Struthio camelus: one gene and its partner. The protein of the gene in region 2 binds, or shares a complex with, the protein of the main gene of each other region. Links are inferred from orthologs where the notes say so. Each region holds a gene or a part of one and is shown on either strand. Other genes may lie near its edges.

Region 1 (7,069 bases), on a different chromosome or scaffold from region 2:
GGTTTTTTGCTGACTGTGCTATATAATCACTATTTCCTTTTGGTGGGAGGACACTATACTTTCTCCTATATAAAAATTCCAAGAAAACTTGGTCTTAAATCTTGCAGGTTCTTGTAAGTTGATAGACCATTTCTGGGTAGGAGAAGGTTGGGCTACAAGGATCAGAGCAGAGACTTCTTAATAAATAGAGAGTAGTTTAATATCTGCACTCTATTTCTTGCTTTTATTCTGTATTCATATCTAATGCAAAATTAATAAGAATGATGTTCCAAATTCATCTCTGTATAAAAAAGCAAGCAACAGGGTTTAGCAAGGAAGGCTAAATGTGCTCAGTGGTAACTTTGGTTTAATGTTGTTGCCCTTGTTCATTCGTGTTCAGTAATTTTCAGTTCTATTGCATTGATATCATTATATAATTTTTGGCAGTATACCACAGAGCAGTCATAAAAGGAAACTTGAGAGAAATATGAAACAGGAAAGTAAAGCATGAACTGTACAAGAAAAAAATGAATCACTTTCAAATGTTGATTTTTCACTCTGAACGTCACTGCTAGATATTGATCTCAGTTACAGTAGGTTATGTCTGAAATAACCCATTGAATCAGTAAAAGCTACTGCAGATCTACAGTGGATAAGCTTGAGCAATTGCTTCCTTAGCAGTGGCATAAATGTAATTTTTTAATATCATATTATTCTTACTAAGGAGGCAACAGATTTAGAGTTTTCCAGTGGCATGTCTGCAATGAATTGAAATACAGAGATATGTCTGCTTTCCACTCTCTTGCAGTGTGTGGTCAGGAAACACACCCCTATGAATGTGAGAAAGTGAATGAAGATTATAATATCCAGTAGACAATGCAAAGGGGATGTGATTTGCAAAGCGAGAAGGGGTGAAACTGTGATTCATTGTGCTGGGATTCAGAAGTTTAGATTCAGTTCCTAACACTGCCATAATCTTGCTGTGTTAACTTGAGCAAGTCATTCTTCTAGTCTTAGCTTAGCACTTATTCAACAAGAATAATACTTCATTTCATATGTCTTTGTCTTATTGTTTAAACTGAAAAATCTTTGAAGCAGGAACCATTTTCTGCTCTGTGTACCAGATGATTGGTACTCCAAGGTCTGTACCTAAATCGTAAAGTTCCTGAAAAGGAACCCCGCCAGTTACAAGATCTTTTTTCCTCTGGGTAAAATGTACATTGAGTAATTTGTGCATGTTAAAGGCAGGCAAAGCTGACTGTAACTATAATATATTTGTTTAGCCTCAAATATCCGAGCACGTTTTGTGTTGTGTTTCGGTATCTTTATCCAGAGCGTGGAGATGCTGGCAGAGAGTTTGCTAGGTTGTAGTCTAACATGCAAACATGACAACTTCACAAAGCCTGGGCATTGCAAATGTGACCTAACCGACACTACACTGTCCAGTGTCTGTCTTTATGATTGTTAACTCATGCCCATTATATTTTAATGAAACTTGCAGTGCCTTTTTGAAGTGTCATGAAATTGCTTCAAAAGTTGTTCAGCAAATATTTAAGTAGGGTAAAAGTATTAATTTTGTATATAATTCAAGATGAGCCTGAATTTAACCACCAGCAGAAACATCTGTGAATTTAAAAGAAGTTCAGTAGTACTGGATTTTGCACCTTAGTCCCTACCTAAGGGACCATAGTTGTACCAACTGATACAATTGGATCAGCAGTATGATGGGGAGGTAGAGATTTGTTGCAAGTCATGCTTTAACTTTGCTGATTTTTCTGTTCCCTATGCATAATCGTGCTTGCCCAGAATCTTCACTGAAGAACTCCAGAGTACACAAGAAGCATGACTGAAACTATGGAATATTCTAATTCATATCTACCTCTGCCTAAGAGCTTGCTGCATCACTATATTTTTAATCTGGTTACAAGATACAGTCAAGTTCCTCTCTGTATTGCAAATACAATCTATTTTTAAATTAGCACCCAATATCTTAGTATCCCAGATGTATTTGATTTGGATTTTATGCGAGGGACATGCTGCAAGGTCTTGGGGAAAGGGACAGAGGAATGGGATCTGGTAATTATTTCTATGACATTAGTATAGTTAGGTCTGAAGTATTTGGTAGTTATAAAGTGGCTTTTGACAAATACTTAATTTGAGGTTCTCTATCTTGTTTGGAGTTACTTACATGTGTATATGTTTTTGTTTTGGACTCCTTAAGGAGTTTTAATACATATTAATACATTTCATATTAAGTTTCCAGTACTGTTACTATGTATTTTATGAGTATCCCAACTAACGTGTTTCATTTGTTTCTTGTAGGATGGCGTGGTACTGGTTCACTGTAATGCAGGAGTCTCTCGTGCAGCAGCAATAGTCATTGGTTTTCTAATGAATTCAGAAGGACTCAGTTTTGCTAGAGCCTTTTCTTTGGTGAAAAATGCAAGGCCTGCTGTTTGTCCAAATCCTGGCTTCATGGAGCAGCTTCACAAGTACCAAGAACACAGTAAAAGGGCAAATGGAAGCATAAATGATCATGACTGATCAAAAGGGAGAAGTGAAACAATCTATAAGTATACAATAACAGATGTTGGATGTACTTTAATCTGTCATTTTGCAGTTCCTTTTCACATGTGCATTTAAAATTCATTCTCTACACATTTTTCTTCTGTGTTTCCCCCTCCTGTTTTCAGCATCTAATCTAGAGGCCAAATGGTGTTCTACTGACTTCAGAGAAGATTTGGCTCAAGAACCAGCTCTTCCTAGAGCAACGTTAGAAAGATCAAGTTCTCTTTTCCTTGCAATATTAGAAAAAACAGAATGATGGGCTTTATTGAACCATCAGACAATGCAGGCAATAGAGACAGAACATAAAATGATAACTGAGATAATAAAGTTGCCGTTTTTACTTTAATACTAAACCAAATCTTTATCCATTCTAGTTGATTGTAACACCTAGATAATAAAATATTCCTGTAATACCGTACCTTGCTATTAGGTCTTGATTTGGTGTTGCAAAGAAAGAAGATTTTATTGAATTTCATGGGCTAGCCAGCTGATAAATATTTTTAGAAATTAAACCAGGTGGTCTTTTGATGGAATTAAAAAAGGCATGGAGTGCTTTAATGCTTTATTTCTTTTTACTGTTTCCCATCAAGTTGTGTTTTGAAGTGCACTAACGTGATGTTTTTGAAATGCTGGAACCAGGCGATCAGTTTTCATTTTGGTAGATTGTTTCAGTGAAGATATGAAAAATGTTTAAAGCAACATCTCTCAGACTACTGCTACTGCGTTTTTTTGTATCCAGTTCTCCACTCCTCTCACTCCGTTCAGCATCACCTAAAAAGAACAGCTGTGATAGGATAGATGACTTTGGCTTTTTGTCTTGTTATCCTCCTGCCACATCTCAGGCTGGAATAACCATCTTAGGATGACACTTCAAAAAAAAAAAAAAAGAATCTGTAAAAGATTTTGTTAATGTAATCAGTGTTTTCTGTGGCCTTCATGCCAGCTCTAAATGGTTTGACGTATTAATATAAAATAAAAAAACCTGTATTTGGTTAAATTTTGTGTTAAATGAGAGATATTTGAAACATTTGTTCACAAGTACTGATACTGGGTTCTCTCCTTCTCATACCACTAATTTGAATTGCAGTGTACCATTGAGTTTGGACTACACCGTGTGTAGTTCTCTGTATTAATTGTTCATGCTAACTATCAGTGCAGGTTTTAGGTTCGCCCCATGTTGCTGTCTGGTCCCCCTTTTCCCGTTGCAACAGGGGAAGGGACCAGTCTCTGTGAACCCTGGAAACGCCAGCCCATCGTTTTCTGCGGTGAGAAAGCTTTTCTGCTTCATCTGCCGCAGGTTCAGGAGTTCTCAGCCCACAGAAACAGCACGGAATCAGCAGCTGTAATCACAACGGTGGGCCTGCGCCTTGTCGGTGCGGGCCCTTCCCAGGGGCTGCGGGCTGGCGCTCGGCGGAGCCGCGGCGGCTCCGGTCCCCGGGCGACAGCGAGGGCGCCCCGCTCTGTGACGTCCCACCCCCGGGCGCGGGGAGGGGGGAGGGGGCGGGGCCTGGGCAGTGACGTGGCGCCATGTCGGCCCTCGGCGCGGCCTCCCCCCGCCGGGGGGCGGCTCGCGAGATGGCGAGGGGGAGAGGCCGCGGCCGCGCCTCCCGGAAGTGACGCCGCAGGCGCTTCCGCCCCGTTTGAAAGCGCCTGGCGGAGCTGCTGGCAGCCGTTTCACGCCGCCATGGCCGCCTTCGCCGTGGAGCCGCCCCTTGCAGGTGAGCCGGGCCGTGGGCCGCCCGTGCCGGCCTGCTGCCACCCCCGGCCCGGCCCGCCCCGCCCCGCCCCGCCCCGCGCGCACAGCCGGCGGCCGAGTGGCGCCGCGGGGCTCACCGCGGCCCGGCGCCGCCGCTTCCTCGCCTCGGGCCTGGCTCTGCCCCGGGCGGCGCGGTCGGTCCCCCTCGGCCCCCTGCTGCACCGGCAGCCGCAGTCCGGGCCCTGTTGGGCCGGGGTGCCCAGCTGGGTGTGGGCGGCTGCCTACGCCCGGGGACTGTGGAAGGAGGCGCGCCTTCGGAGTGACCTAAACGGCCGTAACGCAAACGCTTCGTGACACCCCGAAACAACAGTCCCGAGCAAACTTGCAGGCTGCGGCGAGCTTTGCTTTGGTGGCTGGGCCGCAGGGAAACTGAGGCGGCTGGCAAGAGGCCGGAGAGCTTTGGCAGAGCGTGTTCCCAGAGCTGGGGCACAAAGCAGGATGACAGCGGGACTCTAGACAGGCTTTGTTTCAGAAGTGGAAAAAAAAAGGAAAAAAAAGCACCTTAAAGAAAGCAGATATCTTCAGAAGCAGGTGTCTCTTGCAACCAAATCGGTGTATTTTAAAAAGAAAGTCCCAGTGTGGCACTTCTTATTTTTACTGCCTTTTGGATAGTGGAGTTGCTAAAAATGCAGAATTATGATAAGCCTTATTTTCTTGAAAAATAAGTTGTTAGAAACATCCTAGTCCCTCACAGTGAATTGGTTTACGGCTTATTTATAGAGCTACTACTTAGGCGTTGGCATAGGCTAAATTGTTTGGCTGCTTCAATGTTTTTAAATTTTGTTTTTGTTAATATAGGAGCTGAGCCAATGACTCTTGGCTCCCCAACGTCTCCCAAACCAGGTGCTGGTGCTCAGTTTCTTCCTGGATTTTTGATGGGCGATCTGCCTGCTCCAGTGACTCCACAACCACGTGCTTTAAGTGGCCCTGCTGTTGGTATAATGGAAATGAGGTCTCCTCTACTTGCAGGTCAGAATGCATTAAACACTGAAAAGTTATCTTAAAAATAAGAATTAGGGTTTTCTTTATTGCTCTGTTAGAGACTTGGCTCTGTGTAGCTTTGGAATTTACTTGACAGTGAACTTGTGTGTTCAGTTTAGTTTGGCTAAACTTCTCAGAATAGACTTAAGTTTAATAAGAGTTTTAAATCAGCAGTTTGTTACCAGGAAAAGTTACTTCTACGACAAAGATAATATGAACCTTTTCTAGTATAAGTTCAACTTATACAATTCTTTACAAGCCAATTGCATATAGAATCATCTGTATTTTCTGTTTGCTCAAAGTAGTTAGATAATCTGCTGGCAAACTAAATACAGCTCATGGAAAGTGTTGATTTCTTTGCAATGAATTCTTAAAAGCCACTTACAGATTGTCAGGTTCTTAAAACTGAATGGAGAGAATATAAAAAATGCTCCTTAGTCAATATCTAGTAATTGAGCTAATGTTTGACAATCTTAGTGTCTGCCGTAATCGGACTGGAGTAGTGACATTTTTTACCTGTTGGAGGTAGATGCTTTTTTGTTTTTCAACCACCTAGTTGATCTGACTAGAAGTCATTCCTGTGTTTCTAAGACAGTGATATTATGTGTCTATCCTCTCTTAGAAGTATAAATCAGTAGTTACAGTTTTGTTAATTTGTTTCCTATCTTAGATGAGGCAGGCTTTTGTATTAAATTATTGGATGCAATATAAATATTTGGTTTCTTGGTGTTAAAATACTGGTCACTTTTTACAGAAGAATTGAGGGTTGACATACTGCAAGATTATTTCATTTTTCTTCTTTCAGTCCAAGTAGGATCGATTCTCTATTCCTGTGTCTTGTGTGTGTTGTTTTTTTTCCCTTAAATACAAGTCTCTTGAGAAAATAGTTTCAAAATTTAAAATAATCATGTAAACTTCACCTCATCCTTTTTTTTTTTTTTTTAAAAAAAGGAATCGTTGCAACAGTATCAGTTCCGCAAACAGGGTAACCAGTAAAACGCTAGGAAAGATTTTCTAAAATGAGTGGTTAGGTATATTATTTAAATTTAAGGTAAGAACCTTGAAGGGAGAGTGCTCCCCTGGATATGTTAAACTGTTGAGAGGGGAGTCTTGAAGCTTAAAACTCAGGACTGAAAAATGCTTCTGAAAAGCTTAGTTTCCTAAAGTTGTGTGAAGACTGTAAGCCTTCTCTAGCACAAACCTACACAAAGTGTTCAGAGGTATATCAGGGTCTTTCAGTCAATTTAATTCGGTGTAATAATGCAAGTCCTGAAGCTTAAAATATGGTAGGGCAGCGAACTTAACTTCATCCTGTCTATATGCAAGCTAGTTCCTACTCTCAGGAGCTTAGACTTTATTTAGTATGCAATGTTATGGGAAGGAAAGGAATAAACAGTGGAAAAGTGACAGTGTATGCATTTTGGCATTGTTCTTTAGTACAGTATGTCCCTTAAGTCTTAGAAACCTTGCTTTTGCATCTCTGAAACAGGGCAGTTAATCTCTGAAACAATTCAAATGCCAATGTACCTTAAAGCAGAAAGGTGTAGCTAGGTTCAGAACTTTTTAAAAAGAACAAGTGCATTTAAATAGTGAGCACATCAGGTTTAATCAGATGTGCTGTGACAGTCAGCGATTTACAAGTTTTAGATGATGCCTTTGTGAGGAGATAGTTTCTGATAAATATGAGATATCCTTGCCCAGAACTTTCTAACCTGAACGGTTTGGTAGGTCAGATGGTTTTGCAGATCCCTAGTGAAAGAATAAATGGTCTTTCATGGCTGAATT
Region 2 (7,405 bases):
CCGGTGCCGAGCCGGACCGCGCACCCGGGATGAACCTGGGCGCATCCACCCAGGAGGCCAATACCAGGCTGGCGATGCGATTTCCCCTCTTTAACTAAATGAGAGCCGCCTGCTTGGGGAAATATCCGGTGCTTTAGTTCAGCAGCGTGGCCTACGTCTCCGGGCTGGCTCTTTGCAGCCTCCCCAAACATGATATGGGATCGGGAAAGGCAGAAAGCCGTGGGGCGGGTGCAGGTGCCCGGGAGCGGGGACATGCACCGTGCCTGTCCCTGCACCTTGCGGCACCGGGCTGAGCCGCTCGCTCTGTCCCCAGGTGACTCCTGTACCTGCGCACCCAACTGCAAGTGCAAAGCCTGCAAATGCGCGTCGTGCCAGAAAAGTGAGTGCGGGTCGCTCGGGGGCCCCGTCGGGAGGGCGGCGGGTCGGGTCGGCGATGCCCTTCCTGTCGGAAAGCTGCTCCCCACCGCCGGGGCGCCGGAGACCCTGTTAGAGCTCGCAGGGAGGTGGGGGGGGCCGCAACAACGGCGGAGCTGGGATGGATGCGGGGCTTCGCCCTGGGTACAAACAGCACGGGGTGACCAAAAACACAGATGGCGTCTCGGGGCAAGGGGCCGCGGTGCGGCAGGGCGCCCCGGCACGGCCTGGCTGCAGGCTCAGGCTTGCTCTGGAGCATCGCTCGAGCCAAAGGGTTAGATTTAGCTTGCGCTGGATTGGGCTCTCAGCAGCACCGACAGAAGCTTGGCCTTTATTTATAAAGGCCAAGTGGGTAAAACTTTAATACGGCAGCTGTGAGCTCCCTGCCCTGCCTGGCAGCACGTCCGTGGGGTGCCGGCGCGGGGCGGCGAAGGCGCACCCCGTGCTCTCCCTGAGCACCCTCCTCTCCCGGCTGCGTTGCAGGCTGCTGCTCCTGTTGCCCGGCCGGCTGCAAGAACTGCCTCGCGGGCTGCGTCTGCAAAGAGCCGTCGTCTCCGAAATGTAGCTGCTGCCAGTGACGTGGCTGGGGCCTTTCTGGTCTATCAGGAATGTTTGCTGTGTACAAATTCTATTTTTGTAATTTTTTAAACCGCTGTGGTAGCTGCTCTTGGCTTCCGTGCACCTGCGTGTAGTGGGAAGGAGATGGGAATAAAGGCTTGATGTGAGAAGTGGACCGCGTGGTTTATTCAGCCTCTCAAAAAAAAGCACCCTTCAGCTTGTAGTTTCCTGAGCAGATGAGGCTGGTGCTGGGTGGCCCAGCAGTGGGGTGCAGCACCCAACGGTGCGGTGCTGAGCGCTGCCTCGCGCCGCGTGAGCCCTGCCAGGCTGCCCCGTCTCTGCAGCACGGCAGCCTGCCCCCGTCAGCCCTGAGCAGGGCAGACGCGCACCCAGAGCTGCTGGGGATGCACACCCCGTAGGGGTGGGATGCACACCCCGAGCAGGTGGGACGCACACTCTGTCCGAGGAGGGATGCACACCCTGAGCAGCTGGGATGCACACCCCAGGTGGGTGCCCTGCACACCCCATGTGGGCGTGCTGCACACCCCGTGCAGCTGGGGTGCACACCCCATGTGGGTGCGATGCACACCCCATGTGGGTGCCCTGCACACCCCAGGTGGGAGCCCTGCACACCCCATGCAGCTGGGATGCACACCCCATGTGGGCACGCTGCACACCCCATGTGGGTGCGCCACACACGTCATGCAGCTGGGATGCACACCCCATGTGGGTGTGATGCACACCCCAGGTGGGTGCCCTGCACACCCCATGCAGCTGGGATGCACACCCCATGTGGGTGTGATGCACACCCCGGGTGGGTGCGATGCACACCCCGGGTGGGTGCGCTGCACACCCCATGCAGCTGGGATGCACACCCCATGTGGGTGTGATGCACACCCCGGGTGGGTGCGCTGCACACCCCGGGTGGGTGCGCTGCACACCCCATGCAGCTGGGATGCACACCCCATGTGGGTGTGATGCACACCCCAGGTGGGTGCCCTGCACACCCCATGCAGCTGGGATGCACACCCCAGGTGGGTGTGATGCACACCCCGGGTGGGTGCCCTGCACACCCCATGCAGCTGGGATGCACAACCCAGGTGAGTGGGATGCACACCCTGAGCAGCTGGGATGCACACCCCATGTGGGTGTGATGCACACCCTGAGCAGGTGGGCCGCACACCCCATGTTGGAGTGACGCACCCCCTGCGTCCGCGCACCCAGAGGGGAAGGGAGCGGCACTGGGGAGCACCAGGGAGCCCATGTCAGACAGGAGCCGCTCATTTTTGTGAGCGTTTGCTGCCACCTGGCTGCTTCGGTCTTCAGCTCCACCATGGGCACGCGAGGCCTCTTGCTGCCCCGCGCCAGCTCCTGCCCGCTGGGCCCTTGGGGGGGCGGCCGCAGCCCCGGCCCCTCGCAGGGCAGGGGTCCCCGCCGCCCCCGGGCGCTCAGCCCCAGCCTGCCCTCCCCGAAAAGCCCCCTCCGGGCGCAGTCGGCATTTCAGGACTCCCGTGATGCTCGGAAAACGGGAACTTGGCTCCCTGAGTTTTCGAGGCCCTTAGGGCAAGCGTGGGAGAATCGGAGGCTGCCCATGGAGCGGCCCCAGCGAGCGCCTGCAGTGCAGCTACGCACCAGCGACGCAGCAGTTCGCTGCAGACCCCAAAGGTTGTCTGGAAAGCAGGGGATATTTAAGAAGGCGGTCAGCCCCGAGCGCCGTGCTGCTGCAGCTGCCCCTTGCCGAGCTAGCTACGTTTTCGAGCTGCCTTGGGTGTTTTTATACGCCCAAGTGTACAAAAACTTAGTTTTTTTACCCTAAGTGGAGCTTGTAACAGGGAAAAAATAAAGTGGCAGGAGGTGATATATGATGGTTGGAAAGACTTGGATGTGGTGAGCCAAAAAAAAAAAAAAAAAGCAAGCCCACAGGGGACTTCAAGAAGAGGCATGTTTTAGTCTCGCTGACATTTATCGTCTCGCGTGCAGGCGACATCCTCGGGACAGTCTGGATTTCAGCGTCGCACGGAGGTGCAGGGAGCCCTCCGCGCCTCCCCCGCGGCCTCTTTCGGCGCCAGCACCTACCGTAGGCCAGCCTAAACGCCAGCTCCCGACTTTCTTTCCTGCTCTAGCAGCATTTCCGCAGTTTAGAAAATTCCTTTCGGGGCAGTCTGGGACGGGGCGGACGTTTCGGGCCGCCTCAAGCCTCAGGGAAGACGGGAGCCTCGAGAGCGGCTGGGAGGCTTTGACGGGGGACGTCGGCGCTGGAGAAGGACCTCGTGGGCCGTGCTCGCCAGCTCTTCTGCTCCCAGTCTGTTGTGTGTTTGTCAGACAGGCCCTACGGGCGCCAGCGAAATTCCCTGCTCCTCAGACCCGGCCCTACGAACCCTGGCGTCATCAGAGACATCGACTCTACAGCTTGCGCGAACGCCTTGCCCCCTCATGCGTGCGCGGCCCTGTGGTGAACAAGTACAGTAATATTCTCGTACACCTCCAGGGGAGCTCAAAATAACCCCGCTCTTGCATATTTGGCAATCAGAAGCGCCCAGGGTTTGGGGTTTGCTCAAAGACGGGATCGTAGGCGAGGCAGGGCTCTGGAGGGAGGCAGCGAGGGTGCTGGGAGCTGGCGTCCCCCAGGTTCCCTGGAATCGGAAGGTTTTATTACCAAACTGGCGCACGCACTCTCGGTGACTCCCCTGCGGCGCGTCGGGCTCCCGTGTACAGCGCCGTGCACACGGCGGCAGCGGCGGGCAAGGCGGAGGGCAGCCTCGAACTCACGGCCCAAGGCCTCTCCTCCTCCTCCTCCCCCCTCTCCCCCCACCCGCGCTGTCCGTGTGCGCCCCGGCGCGCCTGCATAAAGTTGTTCCCTCAGAGGGGCGGGAGCCGGCGCGCGGCGGGGGGAAGTGGGCCGGCTCGGCCAATAGGCACGCGCGGCGCTCGGGGAAGTGGGCCGGCTCGGCCAATAGGCACGCGCGGCGCGCGGCGAAGAGGGCGGGCTCGGCCAATGGGCGCGTGCGGCGCGGCGCGGGGGCGGCCGGAGCGGCGGTGGCGGCCGGAGCGGCGGGCAGGTGAGGGCGCCGCGGGGCCGCGGGGCCGCGTCGGGTGTGTGGGGCCGCCGCCATCTCCCCGCGGCGGCGGGGCCGGGCCGGGCCGGGCCGGGCCGGGCTCCCCCTGCCGCCAGCGTCCCCCAGGGCTCCCGGCGCCCTCTCCTCGCAGCCGCGCGGGCTCGGCGGGGTCGCCCGCCGGGCCGCGGCGCCTGAGGCGGGGCGTCGCCGGCCGCCGCCCCGGGGCTGCCCCGGGCTCCGTAGCCGGCGCCGCGGCCGCCCCTGCTGCGGGGAGCGGCGCGGCCGGGCGGCTCCTGTGGGCGCGGGGGCCGCCGCGCCGTCTCGGGGCGGTGCCGGCGGCCGTAGGCGGGCGGCTCCCGGCGGGCCCCCGGCCGGGCCGGCACGTGCTGCTGGCGGTGAGCGGCAGGAGAGGCAGCGCTCCGCTCTTGTGCTGCCCCCGCCTCTGCTGGCGTTTGGCAGCAGGCGTTGGTGGCCTCCTCGTTACCGAGCGGAGCTTTATGAGCGAGCTAGACGGGGTGTGAGACGCTTCTGAGCGGGGAAGGTAGTCCGTGTATGGTACTCGGGTTCTTCAGAGCGGTAATTCTGGTGCAGGATGGGAGAGCCGCCTTTGAATGCGTAGCCTGGACCCTTCAGTACGTACATGGAGGAGAATGGTGACCAGGCTTTCCTCCACCCCAACTTACAAGTCATCTGTGCCAACAGCAGGGCTGACTTTGTGTGTGAAACAGGTGAACAAGACAATAAGGTTTTATTACAGAGCGTCCTGGATGTAAGACTCTATTTCTGACCCTAAAGAACACTCTTTACTAGTTCCCCCTAGGAAGGATTTGCTCCATGTTACAGATTCGGTCTTTGCAGAGCTGTCATACAGCACGTGTAGTAACTTGCTAGTGCTGTTTGGTCCTAATTCTAGGCAACAGCAAAACTTCGTGATGTTGAATTGCACCTGTGTTAAAGTTTGACCTTTGGACGTGCTGAGAATCGATATGTAGTTAGCACTGTTGTGGAGTCCTGGGTGCTGTCTGTGCCCAACTCTATCCTAAACTAGAGTGTGTTAACAATTGGTGGAAGGGGTTGAACTCTCAAAAGTCCAAGTGCGACTAAGGACTATTTCTCTCCTCTGCGGATTTGATCGTGCTGACATATGTGACAGCGTTTAGGTCATGGAGAGCTAAGTCTGTTGAGGAGGATAAATAAGAACTTGTTCACATATATTTTATTGGACTCCGTTTCTGTTATGTCTCGAAGGGGTCTGCACTTTCTTTGAAAGACTTACAGGGGCTTACAAATTGGAAAATTTAAAACGTGACTTAGATAATATATGTGATTCTGTGATCTAATTTCTAATGTTCCCATGGGGTAAGGTCACAGGAAATTCACAGGGCAGGAGAGGGTCTGGGTTTTCATCTAAGGAATTTCAGAAATAAAATTAAATGTTTGATTTAATGATTGGCCGGTTTGCCCTACAGCTGAAGTTAGCGGCCCACTGAGCTTGGGTGGTCAGTCACGTGCCTAAAATAAGTACCAAGTGTTTGGAAAACAGGGTGAACGATGAGATGGCAAAACTGCCAGCTGAGCCAGTTATTTAGGATAGTAGGGACTTGAGACCTCTGGGAGGAATTCAAAGTCAGATGGCAGATAAAAGTCAGTGTTGACAAATGCATAGTAATATATATTGGAAGAAATCATTGAAAGTGCTTACTGTACGATTCTACGTTAAGTAACGAACAGGATAGAGAAGAGTGGCAAGGCTCTTGTTTGCCCTTTCACAGAGTTCAAGAGCAAATGACAGTGAATGTCAATGCCTTTAAAACTTTGAAAGAAATATTTTTATGCAGTACTGATTTTGCACATGTACTGTGCTGTCACAAGAGATCTTTGAGACCAGGCGCTTAATAGCGATCATGAAAAGACCGGTCATTTACATGAATACCTGTCAACCTACAGATAAGGTTCAGAACAAAACATACAGGATTGAATCTTGCAGGGGGCAGGGAGGATTAATTGGTGGGTGACCACCTGCTCTTTGATTTCAGACTCTGCAATTCTTGATCCATTTTTCCTGTCTGTAAAATGGGGAATATGATGCTAACTTTCTCTGTGAAATGTTCTGATGTCTACTTATGCAAAGTACTGCACAAGAGCTAGGTATTATTACTGCTATTCATACAAAACTCCTGAGGCCTGCAGAACAGGCCTTTTATTTATTCATGTTTAGCTTCTCTTCTAGCTTCAGAATAAATTGTAGGCTCTGGGGAAAATGTTCTCAAAGTTGAAACAAAAGGAAACACTTAAGAAAAACATAGTTTATACAGAAATCCTTGGTTTAACAGAACACGCGAAGCATAACAACAGACCAACACACCAAAAATTTATGTTTTTAACATTGATAGTAGTGGCTTGTAGTATTCAGGCTATAGTCCTCTGTTGTCAGAGAAGTAATGACAGCTTTTCTGGTAGAAGTTGAAATACTTGCTACTGATCTGGACTGGCAGAAAGTTCATTTAAGAAAGGAGAGGGGGGGAGGCCATGGAGGAAGCTAGGGAAAGTTCAGCTTCTTCTCATCGGGTTAGTAGACAGAAGTTATAAGGCCTGTCTTCAGATCCTGTTGAAAAAGCACATCCTTACTCTCATCTCAGATCTTGGCTGTGGTAAGGAAAGGAGAGTTATCTGCTGTCTCTCACCAGTGTGCTTTTGTGTCTTTACTGCCAAAAGATAAAGGCAGTCCCTGTTTCTGGTGCTGGTACTTTGCTGTGCAAGCAGAAGAGTGAAGCATACCTGGACCTGGTTCATGGTTATTTAGGGCTTCTCAGGGGGTTCAGGATGGGAGAGACGAGACAGAGCCCAACTCATCAGGTTGGCTTGCTTGAGTGCTTAGGGCAGGGAGGCCTCTGCAAGAGGAACACTAGGCTCCGTCTTCATTTCCTGTTTGAAAGAACCTCTTTGTAACTTATGGAATTGAATTAGTTTATCAGCTGTTCTGAATGTTGTGGGTGCAGCTTTCCTTCTCTCCAGTGAAATTTTACTTCTTTTTGGTAAGTACTAGAAAAGCCTAAATGTTTAATTTGTTTCTCAGAGTTAATTAGATGACAAAAAGGCTGTCAGTGTGTGAAGCACAATAGACACTTGCTCACACATTAGAATATGTCAGCTTTAAGTTTTTCTGAAGATAGTACAGTAAAGTGTTCAACATGGACATATTTGGAGTATAATAATTACAGTGTTTTCATTAGACAGCATTGTAATCCTCTTGAGGAATTTTTAGTTCTATTTTTTTTTTTCAGGTAACAAATCATCATTTAAAGTCAAGCTGAATAGAATTAAGAAACCTGTCATCTTTTGTGATTTCTTTTTGGCTTAAATCCAGTCAATTTGTA

What was found. The genes of interacting proteins can lie anywhere in the genome.
Region 1: the proteins of NUP93 (region 2) and NUP35 are in contact, whole or in part, in a crystal structure (PDB 7MW1), measured with the Homo sapiens proteins. The link is inferred for Struthio camelus from reciprocal best matches to the Homo sapiens genes NUP93 and NUP35. Residues at the interface, in NP_055484.3 of Homo sapiens: Tyr266, Tyr269, Asn402, Ala407, Asp408, Lys409, Thr410, Glu411, Tyr413, Tyr448, His452, Phe453, Val455, Asn456, Leu461; in NP_612142.2 of Homo sapiens: Ala88, Pro89, Pro90, Val91, Arg92, Ser93, Ile94, Tyr95.

Annotation. Positions count from the first base shown.
Region 1 is NC_090947.1:17,816,787-17,823,855, reverse strand, and holds the start of NUP35 (nucleoporin NUP35), read left to right. Parts: upstream 1-4,066; 5' UTR 4,067-4,231; coding exon 4,232-4,265; intron 4,266-5,101; coding exon 5,102-5,272; intron 5,273-7,069. Other genes in the region: DUSP19 (dual specificity protein phosphatase 19), read left to right, coding at 2,302-2,523. UniProt on the Homo sapiens protein: Functions as a component of the nuclear pore complex (NPC).
Region 2 is NC_090951.1:22,061,634-22,069,038, forward strand, and holds the start of NUP93 (nuclear pore complex protein Nup93), read left to right. Parts: upstream 1-4,405; 5' UTR 4,406-4,668; coding exon 4,669-4,756; intron 4,757-6,995; exon of another isoform or gene 6,996-7,063; intron 7,064-7,405. UniProt on the Homo sapiens protein: Plays a role in the nuclear pore complex (NPC) assembly and/or maintenance. May anchor nucleoporins, but not NUP153 and TPR, to the NPC. During renal development, regulates podocyte migration and proliferation through SMAD4 signaling.